Linked DNA regions of Tamandua tetradactyla. The protein of the gene in region 3 interacts with the protein of the main gene of each other region in a pairwise test. Links are inferred from orthologs where the notes say so. Each region holds a gene or a part of one and is shown on either strand. Other genes may lie near its edges.

What was found.
Region 1: the proteins of CREB3 (region 3) and HMOX1 interact in a two-hybrid assay, tested with the Homo sapiens proteins (2 studies listed by BioGRID and IntAct). The two-hybrid records come from large-scale screens. The link is inferred for Tamandua tetradactyla from reciprocal best matches to the Homo sapiens genes CREB3 and HMOX1.
Region 2: the proteins of CREB3 (region 3) and MS4A1 interact in a two-hybrid assay, tested with the Homo sapiens proteins (2 studies listed by BioGRID and IntAct). The two-hybrid records come from large-scale screens. The link is inferred for Tamandua tetradactyla from reciprocal best matches to the Homo sapiens genes CREB3 and MS4A1.
Region 4: the proteins of CREB3 (region 3) and CGRRF1 interact in a two-hybrid assay, tested with the Homo sapiens proteins (2 studies listed by BioGRID and IntAct). The two-hybrid records come from large-scale screens. The link is inferred for Tamandua tetradactyla from reciprocal best matches to the Homo sapiens genes CREB3 and CGRRF1.

The regions. Positions count from the first base shown.
Region 1 is NC_135333.1:27,750,056-27,757,811, forward strand, and holds the start of HMOX1 (heme oxygenase 1), read left to right. Parts: upstream 1-4,755; 5' UTR 4,756-4,854; coding exon 4,855-4,877; intron 4,878-5,874; coding exon 5,875-5,995; intron 5,996-7,756.
Region 2 is NC_135335.1:14,563,975-14,570,925, forward strand, and holds the start of MS4A1 (B-lymphocyte antigen CD20), read right to left. Parts: upstream 3,013-6,951; 5' UTR 2,704-3,012; intron 1,507-2,703; 5' UTR 1,201-1,506; intron 1-1,200. UniProt on the Homo sapiens protein: B-lymphocyte-specific membrane protein that plays a role in the regulation of cellular calcium influx necessary for the development, differentiation, and activation of B-lymphocytes.
Region 3 is NC_135328.1:60,057,215-60,064,395, forward strand, and holds the start of CREB3 (cyclic AMP-responsive element-binding protein 3), read right to left. Parts: upstream 3,011-7,181; 5' UTR 2,570-3,010; coding exon 2,411-2,569; intron 2,326-2,410; coding exon 2,154-2,325; intron 2,079-2,153; coding exon 2,011-2,078; intron 1,904-2,010; coding exon 1,814-1,903; intron 733-1,813; coding exon 626-732; intron 528-625; coding exon 459-527; intron 1-458. UniProt on the Homo sapiens protein: Endoplasmic reticulum (ER)-bound sequence-specific transcription factor that directly binds DNA and activates transcription. Plays a role in the unfolded protein response (UPR), promoting cell survival versus ER stress-induced apoptotic cell death.
Region 4 is NC_135338.1:11,779,087-11,787,022, reverse strand, and holds the start of CGRRF1 (cell growth regulator with RING finger domain protein 1), read left to right. Parts: upstream 1-4,915; 5' UTR 4,916-5,026; coding exon 5,027-5,130; intron 5,131-6,456; exon of another isoform or gene 6,457-6,558; intron 6,559-7,936. UniProt on the Homo sapiens protein: Able to inhibit growth in several cell lines.

The DNA.
Region 1 (7,756 bases), on a different chromosome or scaffold from region 3:
TTTCCTATGTGAGTATCCTGATACTGCAGCACCATTTGTTGAATTTTTATTTTTGTTTGTTTTTGTTTTGGGGAAGTGCCTGGGTGGGGAATTGAACCCAGACCTCCCACATGGCAGGTGAGAACTCTACCACTGAACTACCCTCACACCCCAGTATCCTTATGGTTTTAACCTGTATTTGCCTAATGACCTGTGAGGCTGCATACATTTACATATGCTTAATTGCCATTGTTCTCTCTTTTTTGGTGAACTGTCAGTTCAAAATTTTTTTCATTTGCTTGTTTGTCTTTGAATCAAATTGAATGAATTCTTTGTACATTCTAGATACAATTCCTTTGCCAGATATATGTTTTAAAAATTTTTTCTTCCCAGTCTGTGGGTTGTGTCTTTCTTATATTTTATAACAGTATCTTTTGAACAGCACAATCTTTAAATTTTGACAAAGCCCAATTTATTGCATTTTTTCCTTTCTTTACATGCTTCTTGTATTGTATTTAAGAAATCTTCACTAAACCTAGGGTCACTAAAATTTTCTTTTATGATTTGGCCCATAAGTTTTATAGGTTTAGGTTTAGCTCTTTCATTTATGACAATGATCCGTTTCTGAGTTGGGTCTGGAAAGATGAATCTGAGTCTGGCAGAAGCAGAGAAAGGACATTCTAGGCAGGTGGAGCCACCTGAGCAAAAGGCCCAGCGGGGTACCCGGCTTTTGCCAAGTGTGGCAGAGGGTTCTCTGCGGCTGGCACACATGGTGGGAGGGAGCAGGTGTGGTGAGCTCTCTCCCGCTGGAGAGGTGGGCAGGGCCAGGTCGCCAAGGCCCAGGTGTGCCAGGCTCAGGAGCTTGCACTTTATCTCAAAGGCACTGGGGAAACACTGAAGTACGTCACCTGTGCAGTCACCACCTTTGCCTAATCTGCAAAATGCGGGCAATTTGGAGGAGTTATCAAGGTAAAGAATGGAAAATTGTTTGGTCAGGGCCAGCTTTCTTCTGGGTAAGGATTCAGCTCCCCCAGCTCCCCCCAGCTCCCCCCATCTCCCATAAGTAGTGTGTTGAGAAGAATTCAGTGTTTTGCACTCCTGTCTGTGTATGTTTTTTTTTTTTTAATGATTTGAGCTTGTCTACTTGCTGAGGAAGGCCGCAGATCTCCTCGGGAGCCCCCTGCCCTGCTGAGTCAAGGGCATAGCCTCTCTGGGCCTGTGGAGGGTGGGGCATGGATGCAGTCAGGACACCCTCTGTGATCTTGTTTATCTGAGACATCCCTTACAGAGGATACTCAAGCCAGAGACTGCCTACCACACACACACACACACACACACACACACACACACACACACACACACACACACACACACACACACACACAACTACCCACCCACCCTCACCCCTGCACCTCCAGCCTCAGCTATGGCCTTGCCTTTGTTTTTCACCATTAGAATCTTTGGAGCCACAGCCTTGGCCCCCTCCCTGCAGCCCAAACAACTTCTGTTTTTCAGGCGGTGCCGCGGAGTGCTGAGTCGAGATTTCCACATTTCCCTTGTGGAGTTGAGTTTTCTGCTGTGTCATGGTTGGGAGGGGGAACTTGTGGAGACAAAGGGAAGGAGGATTTTGCTGAGTCACAGCTGCTTCCTCAGCCTCTCTGGGTGGTCGGTGAAAGGGCAGCTTTAACAGCAGGCAAGAGGAAATGAAACTTCTAGAAACAGGCAGAAACCTCTTATTTCCAAGTCTTTACACTTTTACAAAGCCCTGTACATCTCAAAATTAACATTCCAAAACTAAACCGCTGAGCTTCCCCCAAACCTGCTCTTCCCCATCTCAGTAAATTGTCAACTCCATCTTCCCAGTTGCTTGAATCCAAAATTTGGAAGTTATTCTGGACTCCTCTTTCTCTCTCACAACCCACATCCTATCTGTCTGAAAATCTTGGTGACGCCATCTTTATAATATGTAGGTCTAAAGCCACTTCTCACTCACTCCTGACTCCGCCATCATCCTCTCTCACCTGGACTATTGTAGTAGGTAGCCGTCTACCATTGGCCTTCTCTCCTCTCTTCTGCCCTCAGTGACCAGCAGTAATCCCATGAAAATGTATGTCAGATCCTATCAAGTCTCTGCTCAAAACTCTGCAGTCCCACCATCTCACAAGAGGTCCTGGCAATGCAAGGCCCTATGGGCGCCTCCACGTATACAGGGCCCTGTCCCCCCATCTCTCCCCTGCCCCATCCCCTCACCCTTTCTGCTCCGGGCCCACTGACCTCTTTGCAGCATCTTGTCCATGCCAGGCATGTTCTGCCTTGGGACCTTTGTCCCACTTCTCTCTCTCTCCCCCCAGATGTCCAAAAGGCTGCTGTTACAGATGGAATCTTGTCTTCCACAAAGACATGTTCAACCTCTGGACCTGTGGGCATGAACCCATTTGTAAACAGGCTCTTTGAAGATGTTATTAGTTAAGGGGAGTTTGGCCCAAAATGAGTCAGGGTGGGCCTGAATCCAGTAAGACCGGAGTCCTTGAAAGCAGGGAAAATTTGACAAAGTCAGGAGGAAATATCTGGGAAGACAGACGGCCATGGGACAGAGCAGAGACTGAGTTACAGACTGCCAGCAAGCTATCACAAGAACACTACAGACTTTGGAAAAAAGTACTTGGGACTTCTAGCTTCCAAATCTGAGACAATAAATTCCTATTGTTTAAGCCAACCAATCCATGGTACTTTGTTACAGTGGCCTTAGCAAACTAAGACCCCTCCTTCTCTCCCTCACCCCCACCCTGGGAAGCCCACCCTAACTACTTGATTTAAAATTGTAACCCATCCCTCCAAGCACTCCTGATCACCCTTACCCTACCCTGTTTTTTCCATAGTACTCAACACCTTCTAACATACTACATAATTCACATCTCTATTGTGTCTATTGCTTATTGTTTAATTCTCCTGCCAGAATATAAACTCCGCAAGGGCAAGTATCTTGTTTTGTTCAGTCGTGTATCTCCAGCCCCTAAAAGAGTGCCTGACATATAGTAAGTGCTCAATAAATAGATGTGCCCTGGCAGCCTGGTCTGTTTGCTGTACTATTCAAATCTGGATTAAACATCAGACTTTCTGTGTTTAGTTCTCTAGCTCAATCTCTCTGCCTCAGCTTTCTCATCTATAAAATAGGGATAGTAACAGTAGCAGCCTTATGGGGTTATTGTGAGGATAAGTGAGTTCATATGCATAAGTCTTAGAATGGTATCTGGCACACAGCAGGTGCTCAATGATTATTATCATTATCATTTTCCATAGAAGCAGAAGTGGTTATTTGCTCACAGATCCTGCACAGGGGCTCAAGGCCTCAGGGCCCAAGAAAAGAGAGGGATGTACTGCCTTGATCAGTTCTCCCAAACCACCTGGCTCCTTGGTACAGCCCATCTTTCTAGAAGGTTCAGCGGCCTCCATGTTGCTGGACTGATTTGGTGACTGAAGCTCAGGGAAGTATCCCTGGAAGAGGAGGGAGGGATCATGGGCTGGAACTCTGGCTTCTTTTGATTACAGGGACCCACTGTCTACCCAAACCTGCCCCATTCTCCCAGACTATCTGCTGGCATCAGAGACTCCCAGATGTGTGTGGCTGGAGCGGACTGCCAGAATCAGCCATGCCAGCCTCCCTGCTGGAGAATGCCTGCTTGACCAATCTGTACTTGCATTTCTTCAAGGGTGGTACCTGCCACCTCCATTTTCAAACAACACCTTTGTCATGAGCCAAAGTCACCTCCTTTTATGAGTTAGAATCCCGAATTGTGGCTTTGGGAAAGGACTTTAAGAATCAGCCAGTTCATCTGTCTGGTCAGTGATCCTTTTCTAGCTCTCGGTCCTAATTCATGGAGAATTAACTCAAAGTGGGTGCCGTCTCCATTCCTTGCCCTGGCAAGGGCACTGGGGATAAGAGGTGAGTCAGACCCGGGTATTGACCTGCCAGAGCACCCCAAGTATGCAAGCAGACAGGCAGTATGCATGCCAAGCATCGCAGTGGACTCTGGACCAAGAGAGAAGGGAACCTGGGGGCCCAGGCTAAGAGGTTGCAGTCACTCCTGGTCTGGATCCAGGATTCCTGCTTACCTGTGCGGTCCCACCCCATGCGTGCCTCTACGTAAAATGGGAGCCTCTACAGTCATAGGACTGTGGTAGGGATGAACCAGGAAAACGGTACAGACTCTAGCGTTTCGTAACTGCCCAAGACACAGGTCCTACGTACACATTTAAAGGGATTGTAAGAAAGCAGGCTTTACCCGGCGGCGACATTTTAGGATGCAGGTCCCCAAAGCAAGGGAGGTGGAGACCGTAATTCTCTGATGTTGCTTCTAAGCGCTGCCCCGTTCCCCTCCCCCCACCCCCTCCCAGAACTCTGGAACCTTCGAGATTCCTGGGAATGCGTGAAGTACCATCACTGGGGTGGGGGGGGTGAGGGGTGGGGTGGGAGGGGTGGGTACGGGTATCTGGAAAGGGCAAAATCGCACTCAGAGCCGAGCAGCTGCTCAGAGATTTCCTGAAGAGTGCTTTCTTTTTTAAACACATCCGGTGGCCCAGCTTTGTTTTCCAAGGGTCATATGACGGCTCCGGCGCCCCCCCTCGCCCACCCTTCCACCGCGAGCCAGGACCGGGACGGGCGCGGACCCAGCGCGGGTGTTGCAACGTCGGGCCAGAAAAGCGCGGATCAGCTGTTTCGCCGGCGGGCCCACGTGACCCGTCCGGAGCATAAATCGGACGGCGCGGTCGGGGCCCTGCACACTCGCTCACCCCTTCCGCAGGATTGGAGACGCGTCGGTAGGCGCCGCCCGCGCAGCGCAGCCAGCACCGAGCTACCCGAGCGCCACCCGCCCGATGGAGCGCCCGCAGCCGGGCAGGCAAGCGCGGGACGGCGGGAGGGGCTCCCTTTGCTGGCGCGGGACTGCCGAGCGCCCCCTGCCCTCTCCCTTTAGGTTTTCAACAGGCGCTCGGCGGAAACCTAGCCAGCTCCGGCGGCGGGTGGCGGGGTCGGGTCAGGGAGGGCTGGGGTTCAAATCTTGCCGGTGTCACTTCCTAGCAGGGCCGGTGGGGTGGCTTCGAGGGCCGGCTTCAAGACAAGGAGTCTCTGTGGAGAGTGGGGGTCCGGCTTTCCAGGGTGTTGGGAGGGACTCCCTGATTAATCCAAGATCCTTGGGGCTACCCAAGCCTGGGTGAGAAGCTCTTGGTTTTCACCCACGTGGTGTTTGCCCTCTTCTCCTGCTGTTGAGCATCTGAGTTAAGACATCACTTTCGCAGAGGGGCAAAACCGACGCTCCCTCCCCATCCCCGGTAGCAGGTGGGGGATCTGGGATTGAAAGCTGCTCTATACATCTGCAGGTCTCTGCTTATTTCCTTCTCCCAAGCTGTGAAGAGTTTAACCAGCATGTGTAGAAGGGAGGTTGATGTTGTGGGGTGCAGATTCTAGGGGTGGGGCAGATATGGACACATGGCAGAATTACTCCCGGAAAGGAACCTTTCCATGATTTACTCAGTTCTCAATCTTTTTAACCCAAACACTTGTATTACGATAAATGTTACAGTGATAACATTATAGAAAGTTCCTGAAATGTATATCTGAAACTTTGACAAAATGAATGAATTAGACATTGGGTCGAAAAGCCAGGCAAAGCAATTGAACTGTGGGCCATGAGTGTGGTCACACTACCCGCTGCTGCTTCTCTGTGCCGTCCTCTCTCCTTCATGGGGAATCACAGGTGACAGGAGCTCTGCCCTTGGCTGGTGTTTAGGGGCTGCCTGTGAGGGCGGTCGGGAATGTGGCCTGGGTGTTAGGGAAGCCAGTTGCATGGGAAGAAGCCTGCCGTCCCCTTGTTCACCCTCCCTTCCTTCCCTTTGCAGCATGCCCCAGGATTTGTCAGAGGCCTTGAAGGATGCCACCAAGGAGGTGCATCAGCAGGCGGAGAATGCGGAGTTCATGAAAAACTTTCAGAAGGGCCAGGTGACCCCAGAAGGCTTTAAGGTATGTGGCCTCGGGGGGCCAGCCCTGGTGTGGGGTGTGGTAGGTGTGTGCAGTCAGATCAGTTTAAGTGAGGATTAGGGCCAGGGACCAGGTGGGCATGTCTAAGGGAGTCATCTTACAGGTGGCTGCAGTGAGGCTCAGAGAGGGGAAGCAACTCACCCAAGGTCACACAGCAAGCCTATGGTCTGCTAGGCAGTGTTGTGGAGGGGCTGGCACAACAGTGTCAACAGTGTAGTACCTATTCTGTGCTGGGCATGTAACACACATGACTTCTAACCTTTGCCTTGGCCCTGATGATGAAGATGGGAAAGAGAAGGCTCAGAGAGGCTAAGTAACAGAAGATCACACCACCAGTAATGAAGTAGAAAGGTTCAGAGTTAAACCAAGTCCGGTCTCCTTGCAGAGCTTATGCTCGTGGTCTGATTCTCTTTGCCTTTGGAGGAAAGAGGTATGGGCTCGAACCCTAGCATGACCATTTCCTAACAGGGAGATTTACTTTGCACGTCATCTAACCTCGCTGAGCCTCCTTTCCTCAACTATGAGGAAAACCCTCACCAGCAGTGTTTTCTTAAGCACCTGCTATATGCTAGGCACTGACTTTTGCGATCTCCTAGCACTGTGGTGAAACTTCATGTAAAGAGAAGGAAAAACACCAGGTAGTTGTTGGGTATTTGGGGGGGGGGGGGGGGAATGGGAAGGGGTGGGTAGTGGTTCATGGGCCGGGAATCGAACCCTGTCTCCTGGATGGCAGGTGAGCATTCTACCACTGAACCGCCTGTGCACCCAGGTATTGAGTGTTAAAACACCAGTGTGGCAAAAGGCTTGGTTGGATTGAACAGAGAGTCGGGGCGCTGTATTCCACCACTCCTGCCCCCTCTCTCTTGTCCTTCCCCACCCCTGTCTTCTGCTTCCACCATGTGTGGTGCTTCAGACAAGGGAGCTCCATCATCCAGTTTGGGGGCAGCAGGATGTGTCTCTTGGGTGATGGGTCTGTTTCTCCCTCCTCCTTATCCTCTTCCTCCCTCCCTCAAGAAAGCTGATGTGCACCTGCTTTTGTGCAGTGGGGTTGAGGGTGGAGAGGGAAGGGACCACTGGGGTCACATAGACTTTGGGCCTTGCCTCTAAGCTGTCAAGTTGAAAATGGGCATAAAGTCCTATGAGGAACCTTGCACTCACTATAGTCACGTTAGATTATGATGGTGGAGGAGGCACTTGGCATGGCCTCTCTGTTTGGGTCCTAAGTGCTGGGCTGTGCCCTGTGCTTTCCCTGTATCATCTTGCTTGACTGTCATACCAGCCCCGTTTAATTCGGAGTCTGGTTATGCCCCTTCACATGGGAGGGGACTGAGGCCTGACATGCACAGTGTCACACAGACCTTGGATCAGCTCGTTCACTGCAGGGCAGGGAAGCTGAGCCCAGAGAGGGCAAGTGGCTCGCCTGCTGTCACACAGGCAAGGACTGGCTGAGCCCAGGTTGGAAATGGGCCTCTCAGACTCAAAAACCCAGGTTTTCTTGCCCCAGGCTACCTTGCTTTCTGCCTTCTTGAGGAATGGGGCTGCTACGAATGTTTGTGGCTCAGAAATAACATGGAAACCTCAACAGTAACATCTCAACTTTGTCTTCCTTCAAACTCAAACTAGAGCTATTAATGTGTAATGGGAGGTTCCCCAGCCAAGTGCCTGGGATATGTCTCCTGGGCTGGCATCCAGTGGTGGTCAGAGTCAGGATGGACCTCCTGGAAAGAGAATCATGCTTTGCAG
Region 2 (6,951 bases), on a different chromosome or scaffold from region 3:
TGCTCATAATGACTTCACCGGTCACCAATATACACTTGGCTGGAAGACTAGTTGGGAGAGAAGTAGACATTCTTGACCACGTCGGTCAAACTATGGTAACAATACGATTTCGTTTATGCTCAACTATATTAATATCAGGATTCAGTTTATCACACATTGCCCTGTTTCACTACTCCACAACAACTTTTTAAACCAGTTTTTTTCTCTTAAAAAATTTATTAGAGAAGTTATAAGATTGCAAAACAATCATGCATAAAGTACAGGATTCCTGTACACTACCCCACCACCAACTTGCATTGGTGTGGAACGTTTGTTACTATTAATGATAGCACTTTTTTTTATGATTGTACTATTTCTTTTTTAACAGTAGGTACTCTCCATGCTCTTTTATATGTTTAAACCAGTTTTGAGCTTTTAAAGGCACCACTGTTTCATGTCCACTCACTGAAGAAAGAGCTTACAGCCTTGATGGTGGTGATTTGAATGATGCCTTTTAGGTCCAGTCATTCCCATCATTTAGTGAGAAGTTCAAAGCTGTCGTATCTTTTTTTTTTTTTTTTTTTTTTACCTCAGATTCCCCCCTCACCACTCAAAATAACTGCATATTTATCTTTCCAGCCTCCTTTGCCCCTCTGTGTGAGCTCCTCAGCACCTCTCCTTCCATCATGAATTTATTCCTTCAAAGAAATTGCTCCTTCCTTGCATCTTGAGTCTCTTACTCTATTTGTGGTGTGATGTAGCAGAAAGAGCTAATCCCAACGCTGTTTTGTTTGCTACTAGAAATTTAGGAGAATATTTGCCTTACCCATTTCATGGCATTATTTTAAGAACATGAGAGAATCTGCAAGTTATAAAGTACTGAAGGATCATAAAGACTAATTGTGACTACTGGATCCTTCTTCTGTGACTAACATGTGCTGTAGTGTCCCCAATTCCAAAGCCCACTTCCTTTAATCAAGCCAAGTCCTTGGCCACTGCCCCGTCTCCCCTCTCCTTTAATCCCAGTTTCTTCAGAGCTTAGCATTCTACTCTCTTCCTCCACTTCTCCACCACCCACTCCAGTCTTGCACACTTTGCTCATAATTTCTGCTGGAACCACTTAACTAGAACCACTGTCCTCAAGCCTTCCTGTGCAAAGACGATATAGTACTTTCTCAAGCATCACCCCTCAGATTGACTTACTTCTACTCTGTTCATTACCTGGACTTAAAAAGTTGGAACGTTATTTCACTCCAGCTCCTTCATCTTCCAAGTTCAACCAATTGCCAAGTCATGCCATGTCCACCTCTGCAATGTACCTTGCACCTGGATGTTTATTTCCACTTCTAGCATCACCCTGTGAGTTTGATTCTCATTTCCTCATTCTTAGCACACAAGTCTTATTCTTCTGCTTTCAGTTTCTCTCTTTTCGAATCCATCTTCCACGTGACAGCTAAGATCAACCTCCATAAAGTACTGCTCCAGTCATGCTCTTCCTGAGTCTGAACTGTCAGTGACCTGCCGTTCCTACTGGAGAAACATCTTACCTAGCCACTCAACACAGTCACAGTTCAATTCTACCATAACTTTCCAAGCTCATAGCCACTGCTCTCCCACCCCATTACACAAAGCCATTGCAGAGTCTTCTCTACTCTGATGCCTCTGAAATTTGACAGACTCCTCCCCTCCACCCCCATCAGTTTCAGTCTCCCCATTTGTCATTCCCATCACCTGAGACCTCCATATAGTGCCTAGACCTGTTTTCTTCCCTTGATTTTGAGAACTTCTACTTCAAAGCTCAAAGCTCTTTACGTCCTCTATTTGTCAACTGTTTTCTTCCTTTTGTCATATCTTAGCTCCTCTAAAGGAGTGTGACTTCTTCCAAGCACCTTGTTTCCCAGGAGTACATGCTATGAGCTCAGAACACCTTCAATGGAACATTAAATTGAATTACTTTCACGGGGGCAGGTTTGCAAATGCTCAGGGTGCCAGGTCAAAAGGAGGTAATTTCACCTCACCTGGTGGTCAGTGCAAGCAAGCAATTGTATGGGAAACAGGGAAGGGGAATCATGGATTCAGGAAATGGTTGTGATACAGTTAAAATCCGTCTTTGTTGCCTTTCAAAAGAACTTCTTATCTCCATTGCTTACTCACTTTCTAAGCTTCTTATGCGATCAATCAGAGGTAGGCTAATGTGCTTAGTTTGGTACCGATCCCTCTAGAAAATGTTTAAAGGCCTTTAAAACAAAAGTTATGCAGTGGAGATATTTTCATTATAACCATGACTAATTACTTTCCTATTTGGTACCAGGTAGTTCTCAGAATGGCAGGATTTTAGTTCATGTAACCTTCATAGTACATTTATTTCCCCCATTGTTTGGATTAGGCACCTAGAGGTTTAGTAATTTGTCTATGATTGTATGGCTAATAAGCAGTGGAGCTGAAGTCCGAACACAGCAGGTTAGAAGCCGTCCTTTAATGACCTGCCATCATCTACTACCTTTGTAGAGTGATGCTTGGTAGGCCGCCCAGGGAAATTCTTGAGGGAGAGAGTGGTTAAAGGAGTGGGTGGGCAATGAGTCTTGGTATCACCCTTCAAATCATGAAACCATCAGCAAAACCTGACCAGAGAAACCCCAGGATGAAAGCTGAGCATCGAAAGGCTCTGAACAACCTAATTATGCCTCATCCATTTCATTTAAAGGAAACAAATTCATTCCTTACCTGCTACTCCAAGGCCTCAGGGCTCGAGGGCTGATCTGGAAGCTGGATGCAGAGATCAGTTGGTGCTGTCAGATTCTCAAGACGTGGGGAGGGCAAATGAGATAGGCCAGACCTGGGGCTGGGATCTCTGATAGATACCAGGTGACGGGAAATCAGGAGCTTCTGTTACCTTGGGCTTCACCCCAATTACTTTGGTTGAACACACACTTACCAGGGCCGAAGGAGATACAAAAAAGTTTCTGCATTACCAGGAGGTTTCAGTTCTTGAAAAAGACCCCAGGGGACAGCCTGACAAGTATCGTGCTGCCTTAATTAGAAGAACTTTGCAGCCCCCACCCTGTAAACAGGTGTGGATGGTGGGTCCCCAAGGGCAAGAAGGGTGCTACAAATTCCCCATAGATGAGTTGATAGGGCTGATTTTTACCTTATTTCACTTTTTGGGTGAGTACGTGGGGAGGAGGCATCCATGCGGATAGACTTAAGACTCAATGAGCACATACATTTGGGGGTGTTGTACCTTTTGACCTCCAAATATTACCCTCATTTGTTCACACTTATTTGGATTCTAGTGGGACCATGTATATCTTACGATGGATTTAGCAGAAATGGCCCCAAAATACACGTGGGGGTTGTAGAACATCTACCCAGAAGTTTGAGCCAAGAGCTTGCCTCCACCTTTTGGGACATAAATTGAAATGGTACCTTTACTTATTACCCATCCTTTCCCTCTGTCTAGTTCTTTGGTGTCCCTATTCTTTTCTGCCTCAGTTGGTGCCCTATGGCAATCAAACGCAGTGCTAGCTCAAGGCAGGTGGGGAGCGGGGTAGTAGTAGTCTGGGGAGTCGATATATTTAAAGAAAGTTTTGCCCAAAGACATTGCTATTCCCCTCATCCTTGCAAATGTAACCCTTCATATGCTGGATTTTTTTTTTCATCTCTTTAATTTTCCTTATCCATTGCTTTATTTTGAAGAGATCCAGGGCCATAATTAGGTAATTATTTGCCTAAAATAGGGCTCTAATCTGAGGTAAATTCATCTTTCTTTTTCTCAAGTGCTCTCTCTCATTCTCTCTTTCCCTTTCTCCTTCTTGCCTCTCTTTTCTTTGAAACAGTTTGGAACCACAGGATTAGAACCAATGGGTATAAGAAGTTCTGGTTCTGGGGAGGCTGATTTTGTTGCAACATAAAAAAATATGCCATCTCTGCCCCATTAGGAGCTGTTCACTGGTGGAAGAGGCTACGCTTCAGACAGACAACTCACCGTCTTCAGGAACAGTCAAGTAAAACCCATGAAAACACCTCTCGGAAATGCTGTGGAGAGAATGGGGTGGTGGTGGAAAAAGAAGGCCCACCGTCCTCTTAAAGTGGCCTAAGTGTGGATCTGTGAGTGTCTCCACAGGGTCGGAGTGATAGATGATTGTGATGGCCGAAGTGTGAGTCCCGGATGGTGGGTTGGGTTGATCAAAGGCATGGGCCTGCCTTTTAGTGGGCAGGTGGGCAGGGTCAGAGCTTAGCAAATGCATGGCATGGATGAGGCATGAGTTGGGATCTTACAACCTGTTGGTTCAGATCTTTTTCTCTGTTCAGCCTTGTTTCCCTCCAGTCAGCCTTTGGTTGCTGACTCGTCTTTGTGGCCAGCAAGATTCTTTAGGTGGGTCTATGTAAGATTTATCCCAAAATAGGTATATTAATAAACTTTTGTTTTCTTTTTGCTGATTTTGACTGATTGACCTTTCAGTCCTTAAAACTTCTGTGTTTGTGTGTGTTGTAACTCCTACTAAAATTTGGATTTGTCATAGCTCCTTCTTTGTTCTATGATTTTTGTTTCCTCTGTAATGTTTGAGGCTATTAGGTCCATAACACATTAAACATTTTTCTCTTTGAATTTAATATGAATTGAATTTGCCATTATCTAGTGACCCTCTCTTTCCCAAGTGGTGGTCTCTATGAAAGTCTACGTAGAAATATGCCAACTATTGTGTAGTCAGTATATGCCTGATAGAACTATTTCTTCCTTTTATTTCCCCTCCTAGAATTCCAAGTTTTTTTCCCCCTTGGAACATTTTCCTCTCTTATGGAAACCAACATAGTCTATCTAATTATGTTTATTTGTCATTGCCTTACTCATCCATTGGTCTCCACATCGTTGGGAAACAGGGCAGGTTTTTCTGATTTCTTTGTTCTCAAACAGTGCTATCAGAGATAATGATTCTGCTTTGGTTCCTTCTCCCATCCATGCTGTCCAGTATTAGGCAGTAACATTTTGGTCTGTCTCTAACTGCTCAATAAAGCACACGTACCCAAAATGACCTGCTGATGGAGGGTACACTTTGGTTTCAGAGAGTTGGGAAGGGAGAATGCAGGGCCTCTGAGTGGTAAGACTGCGTCTAATTGCAAATAGAATTGGTTGCAGGCCAAACAATTCCAGTGCTGTACTTGCAAATAATTCATATGAAGGAAAATGTGCATGCAAGTACTTAAGAGCTTTATAGATCATGAACTCTTCTTTCTGCTCTCTGAAGGACTCCCTTAAATCCTTAACAGTTAGGAAATAACTTTAGTTGAATACCTACTGTCCATATGAAAGTCTTAAAAGAGTTATAGTATCACTTCTTTTTTAGTATTATTGAAACTAAAGAAATGAAAGTAACTGGTCCAGTCATACAGCGTATGAGCGATGTTTAGGAAGCAAAAGAACCTCAACTGTAACTAGAAAAAACAACTATTTCTTAAGTGACTTTTACATTCTAGGCACTGATAACATCACCTTACATATTGCATTTTAGGCTCACAGGAAACGCATTAAGAAGGTATCATTATTGCATTTTTATGCCAGGAATTGAAAGCTCCCAAACAGAAAGGCATCTGCTCAAGTCACAGTTTTAAATGGCAAAACCCATATTTATTATTATTATTATTATTATTTTTTTTTTGCATGGGCAGGCACCAGGAATCAAACCGAGGTCTCTGGCATGGCAGGCGAGAACTCTGCCATTGAGCCACCATGGCCTGCCCCGTATTATTTTTTAATAGACATTAATTTTTAAAGCAGTTTTAAGTTTTCAGAAAAATTGCACAGAAAGTACAGTGTTCCTACATGCTTCCCCCACCCTGCTGCATAGAGTTCCCTTTAGCATTACCTTGCATTAGTGTGGCATACTGGTTATAATTGATGACCTGATATTGATATGTTAGGACTAAACGTATCAATACGTTACTAAAGTCCAAAGTTGGCATAAGGGTTCACTCTTTTTGTTGTGCAGTTCTATGGGTTTTGACAAATGCCATCATGTCATTATATTCACCATTTCGGTATCATACAGAATAGTTTCAATGTCCTAAAAATGTTCTCCCACCTGTTCACCATCCTTGTCTCCTTCCCTCCCTCCCCCTGAGCTCCCGGCAACCAATGACTCTTAAACTGTCTGTATAGGGAAAACACATATTTAATTCTGTCTGCCTTAGAAGCTAATGGCTATTTGGTGAAAGGGCTCTCACCCATAAATTACCACCGACCCCATATATCAGAACTACTCGGTTGCTGAACATTTTTTTATCAGAGCCTTACTCCAATGCAAATTAAAAATTTAGTTTTTCTTCTAGTATCCCCCTTGTTTTCTTGTCCTCACACATGCACTTAGGTCTTTCTCCTTGCAGATTATAACAAACATAAAAGCCCATGCCTTAGTTTCTTTCTTTGTGTTGGCTAACAAGCAGTCTTAGTAGGATTTGGGATCAGAGGGATCGTGATTCAAACCCTAGTTCTACATTTTCCTCCCTTTGTGGTCTCCAAAAGTTACCCGCTGTGAGTGTCAGTTGTCGTGTCTGTGTCATGAAGCTATTTGTACTGCGTCAGAGGGTTGTGATGACAATTAAATGAGATTATGCAGGTAAGATCTCTAATAGTTAGCAGGTATTCAGTCAGTGGAAGGTAATATAATGTAGGGCAGAGGCTCTCAAGGTGTGGGCTGGGGTTTCCCTAGGGTCCTTGAGACATTTTATTTGTGTCTGTGAACTCAAAACTATTTTCATAATAATACTAAGATGTTGTTTGCGTTTTTTATTGTTTTACATTTTTTTTCACGAGTTTACATGGTGTTCTCCTCAGGCTACATAACTTGCGATATTGCAGCAGGTACCTACAGGGCAGGTATGAGAATCCATTTGTCTTCCATTAGAGTCAAGCTGTGGTTTCCAAACTTTGCTCTGCATTGCATTCACCTGTAGATTTTTTTAAACTACAGATGC
Region 3 (7,181 bases):
CTCTCTGCCTTGCTCTGACTTATACTCCTTTGCAAATACCTATAGTGTTTTTTTTTAATGCCCTATCAACTAGGCAGATCATATTCACCAGGCATTCCCTGCACTCTACCTTCTGGTCCCAACTCTACCATTTTACGGTTCCAATCAAACCGGACTATGTTTTATTCTCTCTGCCTAGAATGCTTTCACTACTCCCAGAATACTACTCCCTATTAAATGCCATCTGCCCCATGAGGTCTTTCTTGCTTTCCTCCTTTCTCTTACTTGGTACTTATTTATCCTTAGTTACTCTGAATTTATTTCCCCATTACTGCAAGCTTCTTGGAATCAGAGCCAAGAGAAGTCCAAGTACCAGCCTCACATGTGGGAGCTGCCCAGTGAGAAATCAAGTGTGGCGCAGGGGAAAGACAGCATTAAATGGGAAGGAGAGGAGGGACTGATACTGGAGGGTTGCTTACAGATTCTGTTCCTCCAAGAGCTGTACTTTGTTCTTTAGCTCCAGATTCTGGGCTGTGCATTTCAGCACCCTAGGGGAATAAGACAAGCATATGGCCTGTATCTTCCCTTCAAAAGCCAACTATCTCTCCTCCCCCAACTCCTCTCAGAGTCCCTTTCCCCTTCATACCTGCTTTCTAGACCCCCCACGTACATCTTCTTCTTTCTACGACTCTCTTGAGCAGACTTTTTGTTTCGAATCTTCCTCCGCACTCGTTTCAGAGCTTGTTCCTCCACCTGGGAGAAGAGAGGAAAGGAACATCAGAGAAACATGGAACCATAGAGTTAGAGAGTAAATGAGTTCAATCTTCTTCCCAATGTAGGAAACCTTTTCCAAAGTGTCCCTGACCAACAAGCACTAGACTTCTGTCTGAATGCTTCCAAGTGTCAGATGTTAATACTCCCACAAACCCAGATCAAGTTTAAAATCTTTCTTATCCTGAGCCAACATCTGCCTCCTAATTTCTATCCATTGGGCTTTAGTGTCTGATATCTGGGACCATGTAGAATAAACCATGTTTAGCTATTTGGCACTTGACATTTCTTCACAATCTTCCTCAGAGTTAAAAACAAAAGTAAAACTTGCTCAAAATGTGTAATTCTTCATCATCCTGCTCTCCTCAGGGTGGACTCCATCCTGTTAATAACTGTCAATGATCTGGGTTCCAAACGGGACACTAAGAAATGCTTTCACTAATTAAGGAGAGCAACACCCCTATCAATAGAGTCTCCAGATCCCATTCATTTTTCAGTAGCCACTTCATGTTAATGACTCATCTTGTACTTTTTTAAGAAGTTAAAATTCCCTTAATCTTTCTGTCAATGAACATTGATTTTATCACTGTATCACAGTGTTGTGCTTGTGAAATTATCACTCATTGCCTGTAACTTAAAAATCAAGAATTTACATTTATTTTCGTTAAACTGTTGAGTTCAGCCTTGTCAAATTCTAAAGCTCAATTCTACCATTCAGCAAGAGGTGGATTACCATAAAGCCATAGATATCTAAGTTTCAGGGCCCCTCACTTGGCACAGTCTTTGCTGAGACCTTATACTAATGTTGCACTGATAATTTTGAATTTTTTTCTTAAAAAGAACATCAAAATTTGTATAAGCTTCAGACCCCACAAAATCAGCATCTGCTTTTATTTCTAGCATATTAACTACATGCCCCAGCTTCCTGCAAGCAACAAATTTGCTAAATTTCTTACCTCAGTTCCTTTACAAGTTACTGATAATACAATTAACAGGATTGACCTGCTTGGCACTCATACAGTGTCCCCTCCCCACAAGCCTTTGCTCCCTATAGGACTCTTACCTTAGTGAGAGGAAGAGTCCCAGGCAGAGTAAACCCCTCCTTCTCCAATAGCCTCTTCTCCTCATCGGTCAGTATCAGACTACCAATCTCCTGGGGTTATGGGGTGGTGGGCAGCAGAGTTGCATGAAGATGTCAGAAAATGGGGAATCCTGCCCCCCCCATACAATTTGGGATTAATCCTCCCATAAGTCAAGTACCTGCTCTGCCTGCTCCTCCACCTGCAATGGAGTCATCTGGGGCCCCTTCTTTCCACAGCTCCCACTATCTGCAAACAAGAAAGTAAGAATAGCCAGGTCCATGAGCCCTCTCCTCTCTCAAATTTCATTTATTTCAGACTCACCGAGATCTACAGAGCTATATTCCTGTGGGAGGGAGTAGGTGTGATCATGGTAAACGGGACAGAGGTTGGAGAAGCTGAGAACGTTCAACGATGGTGGGGGGCTCAGCAGGGAGGTCAGGAAATCCTCCACCTCCCATTCGCTCAGTACCTGCACAGGGTTCAAATTAATGGGCTGTGACTGATTACTAAATCTCTGCTTCACGAATGCCCCCCTCCCCCTCCGGCCCGCGCCTCCCCGACACAGAACTCTCACCCACCTCAGCGAGTGGCAGCTCCCATTCCTCCGGAACCTCCACGGCGGCCTCCTCGGACGCCGCCCCCAAATCTCCGCTTTCCTCTAGCAGGAAGTCCAGCAGGTCCTGGTCACCGGGGCCCAGCGCCAGGTCCATATCGGTTTCCACGGGGGGTTCGACCATCTACCCAGCCCCAAATCCCGTGCCCCAGGAATAACCTCCAGCCCAGTATGCCTCCCCCAAATATCGTAGGGTTTCTTTTCCGCCGGGCTTTCCCCTCTAGAGTCTGACGCGCCTCCCAGAGCCGATTCTCTTCAGCTTCCAACACAACAGAAGTGACGCTTATAGCCCTCATGGCATTCTGGGACATGAAGTTCCTCCCAATGCAGAAGTGGCCTTGGGGCCGCGCCACGTCCCTGGGGCTATGCAAACTAGAGCGGACGTTCCTGCTGGCCACCTCACACCCACGGGGCGGGGATTCTAGGGATCCGGCTCCGCCTTCGCCCAAAACGAGAAAAGGAAGGGTTAGAGACTAAAAGGGAACTTGGGCACGGTTCGGACGTTTTCGTCCGACCGCGCCGCACCCTTGCTTCCTGCCGGGGAGGGGCTGCGCGTCTTCGGCGGGCTGCCGAGCATCGAGAGCTGGCGCCAGAGCAGCTTCCTGCAGTCCCCGCAACCATAGAGCGCGGGCTCAGGGCGCCGCCCGCGGGTGGGGGACTTTCCGGGGACGGAAGTGATCGAGAGAGTGTCTCTCGGCGGGAGGGCGAGGCCGGAGCCCGAGAACGACCGGGAGAAAGAGCGGGGTAGCGGGCCGGCGGGCGGGGCACAGAGCCGGGCAGCGCAGGTAGGCCGGACGGGGCCGAGCGGGAACGGCGGGGTGGGGCCGCGAGGCTGGACCTGGGAGGCGGGCTGGCGCGCGGGCGGGGCCGCTGACTCTTCCTGCGTCTCCTGTTTCGGATCCTCTTGGAGAGGTCAGCTTCCAGTTAGTGAATGTCGCATTGGATTCAGAACTAAGTAGGCTGTTTGCTGGAGCCAAGCCCTTCCTGGGAGCAGTCCTTTTCCTGAGATGGGCTTGGGGGAGGGGGAGGACTTGGTTGGCAGTGAAGCTCGGGGCGCGGATAGGCTTTGGGGTTAGTTGATAGCGGCTATGTGGATAGGAAAGCTTTGGGTGAGTTTGGTATTAAGTGGCATAGGGTTTAGGATTCAAGGTTAGCTTTAGGAGTTAAGACTTAGAGTTATTAATGTGTCAGGTCCGGTTTGTAGGCAAGGTTTAGATTAAGATCATGGTTTTGTTTTTTAGGATGGCTAGCAGACGTCAGAGTTAAGAGTTAAGGGGTCAACAAATGGGAATTAGGTTAGACCTACATTTTAGGGATTAAAGATCGTTGGCGTGGTTAGGTATGAGGAATAAGCAGTGAAGGAGTGGGTCAGGAATCAAGTTACACATGAGCTTTAGGTTTAGGGATCAACATTTAGGGTTAAGGTTGAGGGGGTTCCCAAAGGTAAAAATCAGATCGGTATTATAGATCAGGGATTGGGTTACCATCTCTGCTGTGAAAGAGATGAATGTCAAAGCCAGTACTGGGGATCAAAAATAAATTAGGGTTGGGGTTAATGTTAGGAATTAGGGGCAACTTTACGGTTATGGTTGAGGTCAGGGTAGTTGAACTTGTTCTGGTGAAATTTAAGAAGTTCTTGGTAGGTAGGTGCCCTTGTTTTGGGCAGAGGTCTCATTCCTTTGTAGTCACAGGGAGCTTCTTGGGCTAAATTCAAGCTAGAGTTCTGGGCTTCAGTTGGAAGTGCAGGTGTCTAGGATTCCAGCATCTCTATCCCATCCTCTAAGACCAGGGCTCGTATTGTGGTCATTAAAAGTTGGAGGACTGGAGTTCCTAGACTCTTTTGTTTAAAAGAAGGGAGGTAGAGTGGGGATAGAGGCCCAAGAAATGTATAAAGCCAAATCATAAATGGGGGACTACTAAGGGAGAAGGGATTAGTGACTAAGGGAGAAGCCGGCCAAGGAAACACTGTTGCCCTGGTGAAGAGAATGGCTGAATCCCCCAAAAGTTCACCCCATTGCCTCTCACTGTCCTCTCATTCTCTAAATGTTTTTTAAATCTCTCCAACTGTCATTCCTGGCCCTGCATTTCATTCCCTCACACGAATACTTCCCTTGCCTTTAACCCTCTCTTATTATTCATTTTACTTAAGTTCCCAACCTTAATTCTGCTTCCCTCTCCCCTTCTTAATCCACACATCTGACCTTACTTTACCCTCACCCCAAAACTTGAGCTTTCCCATCATTTTAAAGCACTCTTCTCCCATTCTCACCCACTCCATCTATACCACCCTTTTTCAGCACAACGCAACTGCTGAACACCCCAGTCCCTGCTGTGTGCCATCCTTTAATTCTTAGCCTCCTTGAATTTCTTGGTCCATTTGCAGATCCCCTTCCCCCACTCCCCAAACAGAAAAGAGGAAATGAGACCCAAAGAGGAAACTGGGTCTTGCTGATCCCACGCCCAGCCAGGCCACTGACCACACCCCCATTTCACACCCAGCCTGACACGGCCACTGACCACAACCCTATGCCATACCCAGCCTGACCCTGCCACTGGCTATACCCCACACTCCACCCCCAAACTCCAGCTTTTCTTAGCCACAGCCAGTGTCCCTTCACCCTCATCTCCAGCCTAATTTGGCCACTAACCACAGCCTTATTTCTTCCCTACCCTCTCTAGCCTGATCTGGCCTCTGACCTCACTCCATCTTTCTCTCTGAGTCTGACATCTACTGCCCACATATTCATTCCTCCCCTTGCCCCAGCCTGATCCAGTGACTGATCATATATTCATATTTCCTACTATTGTCATCACCACTAGTCTTCTCCCTCCCCATATTGATGCATTCACTGACCACACCCCATCTGCCCCTACCTGCCTACTAACCACGTATCCATTTTTCCCACCGCCTAACCATACACCCTAACCACAGCCTCATCCTCATATTCCCAGCCCAGCCTGATCTGTCCTCCGTCTTCCCATTTTCTTACCTAATCTCATGCTACTACCAATGACAGGAAGCTATGGAATTCCAGCCTAACCGTGAGTCCTTGTCTGATAAGATTGACAGGACAGACTGTTGTCAGGTCCTGTCAGTTCTACCTCTTAAACTTTCTTTAAAGTGACATCCTCCTCTCCACCATTCTAATCTTGGCTTTATTATCACTTACATTTGCTAATATGGTGTCTCTCTAACCAATCTCCTAGGTAATTGCCAGAGTTATGTTCCTAAAAATCCAGTCCTGATCGTATCTCTTCTCTACTCAAAAGCCTCCCCTGGCCTCCTGTTAACCTCCAGAATGTAAAACTCCTCATTATCCTCTCTTGTCCTCCCCTGCCTTTCCATCCTAACCCTAACTTCCCCACCACTGCTCCCTTGCGGGCACCCATGCTTCAACCAGCCTACCTGCTCACTTCCCCGAATGCTCCTCCACAATTTCCTGCTTCTCCACTTTTGCATATGCTCTTCCTTCTGCCTGGAATGCTACCCCTGACCCATCTCCAGTGGCCTAGTGGAGAAAGCCTGGGTTCAGATCATGGCTCTACAAGTTATTAGCTGTGTGACTCTGGACAAGTGCTCTTTGAACAAGTACTTCACTTTGAACCTCAGTTTAATAATCTGTCAAAATGGAGATGATGCCTGCCTTGCAGGGTTGTTACATGTAAGGATCAAATGAAATTTTGTATACAAAGCAGTTAACATATAGTTAATAAATGACAGATCGTTATCATTTTTTATTATCATTATTATTTTTTAATCTAACTTCAAAGGACAACTTTTTCATGGGGACTTTTCCTATCCACCTTCCCTAACCTAATCAGATGGCTCTTATCACAGCCTGCTCTTTATTGTAATTCTGTACTTGACTTATCCATCCTCTTGACTGGGAGCTCCTAGAGGGCAAAGCTGTTGTCTTACTCATCTCCCTTCCCACCCACTGAAAGTTTTGGCCCTCGGCCTTCCCCACATTGGGGATGCTTACTGAGTGAATGAAGAATGCTTACTGGGTGAATGAAGGAAAATGTATACCTAAAGGAAAAAAGGATGTTGGGAGGAGGGGGGCTGTGTGCTTGAGATGGGGTGTATTTAGAGGGGAAGTTGCTTGCATTGGATGGAGTCTTTATGGAAAGATCAAATGGCTGCAGTGGCATCTGAGTCAGGGCTCGGTGACTGAGATAACAGATATACAAAGAGACGCCATGGAGGTAGCTTTGTGAGAAAGAGCTCTGTGATGGGGGTGTGTTTGGGGAAGAGAAGTGTGCATGGGATAGGGGTGTATGCGGGGAGGATGTGTATTGGGGAGGTCAGGCCCAGCCCTTCAGCTGCCCAGTCCAGCTCTAAAAGAGCCTCCGGCAGCTTGAGGCCGGATATGTCAGTCTCACCCACAACCCCCCCCCACCACCACCACCACAGTTGTGGACTCAGAGGCCAAATTTGGTAACAGACTGAGTATTACTCCCCCAACCCTCTTACTTTCTGGCTCTGCCTTCAGTTTTCTCTTCCCCTTTGTCCCTTTCTGTAACCCCCTATCTTTCTGCGGCTCCCTTTGTGGTTATCTACACAGACTGTATTCTCCATGTACCCCAAATTCCTTCCCCCAATACACTTACATTCCATTCCTTCCTGGGATTTGACCTCTTATCCTCCATCTCACCCTCCCCCCTAATTGCCCAACTCCTTTGGAATGCATTTCAGGAATGTCTTGAGGGAGGAGGAGTTCCCTGGGAGGGGGACA
Region 4 (7,936 bases), on a different chromosome or scaffold from region 3:
TAAAGTTTATAAAAGTGTCTCATGTGACTGTGGGAACACAGAGTCCTAAATCCATAGGGCAGGCTGTGAAACCGACAATTCCAATGGAGGGTCTGGATGAACTCCACAGGAGAGGCTCGCCAACCGAAGCAGGAAGAGAGCCTGTCTCTTCTGAATCCTCCTTAAAAGGCTTCCAGTGATTAGATTAAGCATCACTCATTGCAGAAAACACTCCCTTTTGGCTGATTACAAATGGAATCAACTGTGGATGCAGCTGATGTGATCATGATTTAATTCTATGAAATGTCCTCATTGCAACAGACAGGCCAGCACTTGCCCAACTAGACAAACAGGTACCACCACTTGGCCAAGTTAACGCATGAACCTGACCATGACACCTACCTTTGCACTTTTACCTGAAAGGGGAAAAAACTATTTTGATTAAGACAGTCTTGTTTTTGGCTTTCTGTCACTCACAGATTAAATTATTTCTAAGTAACAGTCTACTTTGCTGCAAGTCATCATTACCATCCTAATCAGAGTTATCGGTATTTTTTTGTCTTGACTTTCAAAAGAGTCTATTCACTGATACCCCCACATTCACTCCTGTCCTTCCTGACCTTCCCATCAGTTTTCTACAGAATAACCAAAGTGATTGATTCAAAAGGCAAACTGATCTCCACTCTTCTTCTTCAACCCTCTTAGAGGCTTTTTTTATTACTTTTAGGGCGAGTTGAGTTCATTAAAATGGCAAGACTCCAGCAGAGTCTGGGTCCTACCTCTCTCTCCCTCTTCGTACCAGTCCCCTCCTCACCATCCAGGCTTTAGTGACATTGGCCTTCCAATTTCTTGGGTTTGCTGTGGTTTCTCCCACCTCAATGCCTTTGCATGTGTTACAGCTTTTTTATATATTTATACAAATAAAAGTTTATTGTGCAAAATTAAGGCTGCCTGTCATTTTCAAATTCAACAAAGCAATGTCATGTCTTCGAGGTACCAAATGGACTTCCTTAAAACCACGTAACTGATTAAACAGCATGAAGAACATCATCCTATTAGTCTCTTCTGGTAAGTTATTAAGGACTAAAATAGAATTTGGAGGATAATCAGGAACCTGAGGATTTGGTGTTGTATTTCCTTGGGTGTTGGTTGAATTTGGTGTTCCCAGACCAGACTTTCTGTTTGCAGTTGTTGCAGTCTGTTCCACAGTTTTGGCTTTTTTCTTTTCTTTGTCAGTAAATGTGCCATGTATTTTAGATATTGTATCAGAATCTGATTTTGCATACTGGATTTGCATTGGTTTACCATAAAATGGAAATCCTTGTAACTGTCTCCAGGCGTTTGTGGATGAGCCCAGTTCCTTAAGTATATGGAAGACCTGCCCCCTCGTCCTCATAGTCTTCAAAGCTACCATATCTACCACATGGCCAAACTGAGAAAACAGGGCATACAGGGATCCTTCAATTCTTCTGTTTAAATTTTGTCATTCATATTGTTGATATAAATTGGGTGTGATTGGGACTGATATCCATGTTTTCATTTAAATTGTCCAAATAACCTGAGGCCTGCACAGTCTCCTGGCATGTGTTGTAGCTTTTGTTCTAAGTGCTATTCTGTCCTCCTGTCCCTTTGCATGATAAACTATCAGATCTCAGCTCAACTAACTTTTCTTCGGAGAAGACTTCCCTGATCTACCTCACCAAGGCAACTAGTTCTCCCATTATATATTCTCATAGATCCATGAATCTCCATTTAATAGCTCTTACTATAATTTTGTCTTTACATTTTCATCAACATTCTTTGGTTAATGCCAGTCTTTTCTATTAGATAATAAGCTCCATGAGAACAGGGAAATGCCATTGCCTTAGTTTGTTAGGGCTGCTGTAACAAAGTATGAAAAATTGGAGGACTTAAAACAGAAATTTATTGTCTCACAGTTCCATTTGTTTATGACCCTATTTCCAAATAAGGTCATATTTATAGGGGAGACTCCTTCCAACCTTCTGGTGGTTTCCTGGCAATCCTTGCTCTTCAATGTCTATCTCAGTTGTCACATGACATTCTTCTCTCTGTGTGTGTCTGGGTATCCTCGCCCCTTCTTATAAAGACACCAGTCATAGTGGATTAATGGCCTGCCCTACTCCAGGGTGGCATCATTTGAAGTGAACAAATTCCATTTGTTTATGACCCTATTTCCAAATAAGGTCATATTTATAGGTATGGGGGTTAGGACATCAACATACATTTTTTAGGGGAAACACAGTTCAACTTACAACAACTTTTGCTTATTATTGTTTCCCTAGTGCCTATTCCAGTGTCTGGCATATATCTGATACTTGGATATTTCCTGAATTAATAAATGAGAAATAAGTGGGAGTCAGATCATGTAGAGGTGGGTATGCCCTTCATTCTCAAGGAAATATAGTGTGACATGCAAAGGTTTTCAGCTGTGTTGTCAGATAATTGTTTTAGTTTGTCAAAGCTGCTGGAATGCAATATACCACAAATGGAGCGGCTTTTAAAAAGTGATTTTATTAAGTTGCAAGTTTGCTGTTCTAAGGCCATGAAAATGTCTAAATTAAGGCACCAACGAAAGGTTACCTTCACTCAAGAAAGGCTGATACCATCTGGCACACCTCTGTCAGCTGTAAGGCACGTGGTGCTGTCTTCTAGCTTTTCTTCCTCATTTCATAGCTTCCTTCCCCAGGGGTATTTTCCTTTTGCATGTCCAAAGATCTTTGGTTGTGTGGGCTCTGTCAGCACTAAAGCTTTTTCCAAAATGGTTCCATCTTAAAGGACTCCTGTAAGCAACCTCACCTTGAATGGGTGGAGATATACCTCCATGGAAACCATCTAATCAAAACTTACCATCCATAATTGGGTGGGACACATCTTCATAGAAATAATAAAAAGATCCCACCCAGCAATATTGAATGAGGATTAAAGAACATGGCTTTTCTGGGGTACACGACAGTTTCAAGCCAGCACAATAATGTATTATGGAAAATCATTTTTTGCCAGCAGTGTGCAGAATGCTTTAGAAAGAATCTATGTCGGAAGTAGGGTGACAAGTTACAAGTGGGAAATGACAAGGACTTGAGTTAGGGTTGTATCAGTTCCTATTCTTTCTGAGAATTCTTCAGATTGGATCTCAGTTTTTCATATTGCTGGTTTGGAATTTGGTTTTCATGGCCTGGTTGGCGCATTGTCTTTGTCCATCTTTTTCCATCTTCCAGTGTGTTGCTGCTGTAATTTTGTTTCCTGCTCTTGTTTTTGTTGATTAAAAAAACAAAAACAAAAATGCTTTGCTATAGTTTTAGTGGAATTTTGGAAGGGTGCAAAATTAGGTGCAGGTATTTAATATACCACTTAAGCCTGGAAATCTCTACATTTTATGTTATGAAATTCTTTATTGTTTTATTATAATAAAATTGCCTTTCAAATTGGCCACATTTTTGTTAAGTGACAATAGCAAATGAGGGCAAAATTTTGGATGAAAGGTGGAGACTGCAAATTAGTTTTGAAGGGCAGTATTTCTCCAGAATTTTTAATATGTGCATAGTTTTTGAATCCTAGGAATTTATAGTAAGGAAATAATTTAGCTTTAAGGATGCTAATTACAGTGTTGTTTATAACAATGAAAAAAATTGGCCAACAATTGAGAGTTGATTTAATCAACTATAGTACTTTCACAAGCTAGATACGTAATCACTAAAAATGCTATAGAATCCAAGTGATGTGACGGTGGCTCAGTGGCAGAATTCTCGCCTGCCATGCCAGATACCTGGGTTGGATTCCTGGTTCCTGTCCATGCAAAGAAAAAGAAAAAAAAAAAAGGGAAATGTTATAGAACGAAAGCTTCTTACATAGTGCAACTCTACTGAATACATGATCATTTTCTAAGGAGCGTGTGAAGCCACAGAACAAACTTAGCTCATCTTACTACCCCACCATCAATTTTATTGGTCACTTGGGAGTGTGGCTGACATTACTAGTTGCCTATCCTGAGGTTCATTCTCCCTTTCTTCCTTGGTAATAAAATCCCTCTTTGTAGATTTTGCTGATCAGAATAAAAGACATTTCCTGGTCTCTGTGTGACTTTGGGATTGAACTGAAACCAATGAGATGTCAGTGAAAGTTTCATGAGGGACTTCTAGAAGGCTACCTAGATGCAGCTGACTCAACCCAGATAAGGGGATGGTTGAACATTTCTCTTGTAAATTACTATACTTAAAAGCTTCTGCTTGGTTAAAAATTATCCATAAAAATATATGGATAGATAGACAGATATATAAAAATTAGAGTGAAAACGAATACAAAAAATGTTCAAATATCTGACTAATTCTAATTTGAGGGATGTAGGGGGAGGAGAAAAAGAGGGAGGAAAGTTGATTTATTTTTGTGATTCTCTTGGATACGAAATGCTGTTTTTCCTCTATCATTAAATCAATCTGAAAAGGTCGACAACCCTTATATAAGTTGCTTGTGGTAGAAACTCCTTTTGTTTGTTTCTTTGTTTTGTATAGTGCCTATTAGTAAGTCTTCCAGATAACACAAGAACAGGTGTGGGGTTATCTTACTTTGTAGAATCCCGGATGCTGACCCGACTCCTCCTCCCAAATTTGCCTGGAATCTAATATGCAGGATTTAAAATCGGTGCACTTGGATTTCGGACTGTGCCGGGGCAGACTAGCCGAGAACTCACTTGCTGAATATCAAACCCGGGAGTCCCCGGCAGGACAAGTAGGGGCTCTGCCCCCCTGCCCGGGCAGGAGCTTGCGAACCAACGAAAGGGGCGTGGCGTAGCGAACCAAAGAGAGGGGCGTGGCGTAGCGAACCCGACGAGAGGGGCGTGGCGTACCCTTTAGGCGACGTCCTGATTGGTCTGCCTGCTCCGAAGGGCTGACCCCGAGTCTAGCCTACAAGAACTCCAGGCTAGCACCGAGCTACAAAATTTGTCCTCTCCGGGGCACCGTCGCGCCTGTGTCCCGGGCCCAATGGGCTGGGCTGGACGCTGGAGTCCGGCTCAGCGAAGGAGAGGAGCCTGATGGCCGCGGTATTTCTGGTGACGCTCTATGAGTACTCCCCGCTTTTCTACATCGCGGTGGTCTTTACCTGCTTCATCGTGACCACCGGCCTGGTATTGGGATGGTAAGTATTCCGGGGCTAGGGGTAAGAGGCGGACAGCCGCGGGATGAAGGAGCGGTGGGCTGCAGGGTCACTGGACGGGGGCGTTGGGGGCAGTGGGGAGCCAGCGCCGACGGCTTCGACCGGCCCCGGGAAGAAAACGAGGTGGGCACGGCTCCTGCGTCACTGCCCTGCACCACGGTGCCTATCCCGTCGCGGGGGGCGTCTGGACCGGGTGAATTGGGGTGTTTTACCTAGCTTTGTTTCCAGGTGATACAGCGCCAGAAAGGGGCTAGTGCGAGTACTGCGTTAGGATGCTTGTCCAACAGGCTGCTTTCCAATGGACGCCTACTGTGTGCGCGGGATAACTCAGTCAAGGGTACAGGGCACTGTCTTACTTGGCCTCACATCTACCGAATACTCCACATTTTGAAATGTGATTTAGTCGCTGGAACTATAGAATCCTAATTTTAGTGCTGGAAGATAGCTGAGAGATTGGTTGCATTAGGGAATAGAGCTAGTTTACCCTTTGGAGACCAGGAGAACAGACAGTTAGATAATACCCCAGCAATTCTTCTAGAGATTCCAAAATTTCTTTCTTGAGATGCCCCTGTATCATTTTAGACAAACCTTATGAATACTGCTGGTGGAAACCATTTTTTTCTCCCACATAGTTTTTCTAGACCGCAGCCACCAAAGTTCCTTTGGAAATACGGTGTTTCCAAATAGGTCAACGGTAGCTCTAAATGGATCACATCTGTGGCCTGGGACATAAGAGAGAGAGCTCCAGTGAGTGGAGAGACTTGAGCTGGATTTTGAAGAATGAGTAGTTTGAAAAGTAAATGGAGAAGAGAAGGTAATTCAGAGAACACAGCATGAGCACGGGGGAAGAGGAGATACATGCTGATGAATAGAGTAGGCTGTGTAGAAGGAGTTAAAAAATACTCTTTGATCACATATATGTGGTTATTTAGAGAATGTGCAGACCGTTATCAGTTTCTGGAAATATATACAACCTTTAGGAACTAACCAGAGTATCACTATTTCTACATTGTCTCCCATCCCACCAGCAAAAGACTGTAAAATTCCTTGTTCGGCAGTGGGGGAGGGGTAAGGCCAGTCTTACACAATTTGTTACTCTTGACCCATCAAATTTTACTGCTGTTTTTCATTTTCAAGAAAGTTTGTAGTTGATGTTAAGACGTTGCCCAAGTGAGGGTAGGCCATGGTGGCTCAGCAGGCAGAGTTCTTACCTGCCATGCCAGAGACTCAGGTTCGATTCCCAGTGCCTGCCCATGCAAAAAATAAAATAAAATAAAAGCCACTCTAATTGGTGCTGACTTCGACAAAGTATATGGTTCCATGTACTAAAATTGGAACGATACAGAGGAGATTAGCATGGCCTCTGCACTCAAGGATGACATGCAAATTCGTGAAGCGTTCCATATTTTTCAACTTATTAAATTCCCCCTTTAAAAGCCAAAAAAAGAAGTTGCCCAAGTGAGAAAAGCAGTCTTAACACAGGATTTCTTTTTTTTTTTAATTAAAAAAAAAATTAACAACAAACAAACAAAACAGTAAGATATTCCATTCTACATATATAATCAGTTAATTCTTAATATCATCACATAGTTGCATATTCATCATTTCTTAGAACATTTGCATTAATTTAGAAAAAGAAATAAAGACAACAGAAAAAGAGATAAAACAATAACAGAAAAAAAAGTTATACATACCATACCCCTTACCCCTCACTTTCATTTACCACTAGCCTTTCAAACTAAATTTATTTTAACATTTGTTCCCCCTATTATTTATTTTTATTCCATATGTTCTACTCTTTTGTTGATATGGTATATAAAAGGAGCATCAGACACAAGATTTTCACATTCACAGAGACACATTGTGAAAGCTATATCATTGTTCAATCATCATCAAGAAATATGGCTACTGGAGCACAGCTCTACATTTTCAGGCAGTTCCCTCCAGCCTCTCCACTACATCTTGAACAACAAGGTGATATCTATACTTAATGCATAAGAATAACCTTCAGGATAATCTCTCAGCCATTGACAGTCTCATTTCACTCTTCCCCCTTTTGGTCGAGAAGGTTCTCTCAATCCCTTGATGTTAACTCTCAGCTCATTCTAGGGCTTTTCTCAGTCCCTTGACGCTGAGTCTCCATTCATTCCAAGATCTCTGTCCCACGTTGCCAGGAAGGTCCACACCCATGGGAGTCATGTCCCACGCAGAGAGGGGGAGGGTGGTGAGACTGCTCATCATGTTGGCTGGAGAGAGAGGCCACATCTGAGCAACGAAAGAGGCTCTCTTGGGGGTGACTCTTAGGCCTAAATTGTAAGTAGACTTGACCTATCCTTTTGGGGTTAAACAAACCCCAAGACTGGGGGCTCAGCCTGTAGCTTTGGTTGTCCACACTGCTTGATTAACACAGGATTTCTTAATGACTATAATGTTAATGTTATTTTCTTAAACAATTTTCTTGCACTAAGAACAGTAGGCAACTAGTTGATCATTCCATTATATGCTTAAAATTTTATTTTCAATGGGTCAGCTAATTAGATATCTGTCTTTAGTATTGGGAAAGGGAAATTGATTGAAGGCTGTACTGATAGTGGTGGGTGGAAAGTAGTTAGGTATCTCTTTTCTGGGACAGTTAAGAGACAGACCTTGAAGTCAAACAGACCAAGGTTCAAGTCCTGGCTCTGGCTCTGCTAGGCTTAAGACTTGGTTTGAAACTTTAATGATTGCCTAACTCCCTTATTTAGGTATGACTTATGCAAAGGTGGAATCCCAGGTAATTGTAGAACTC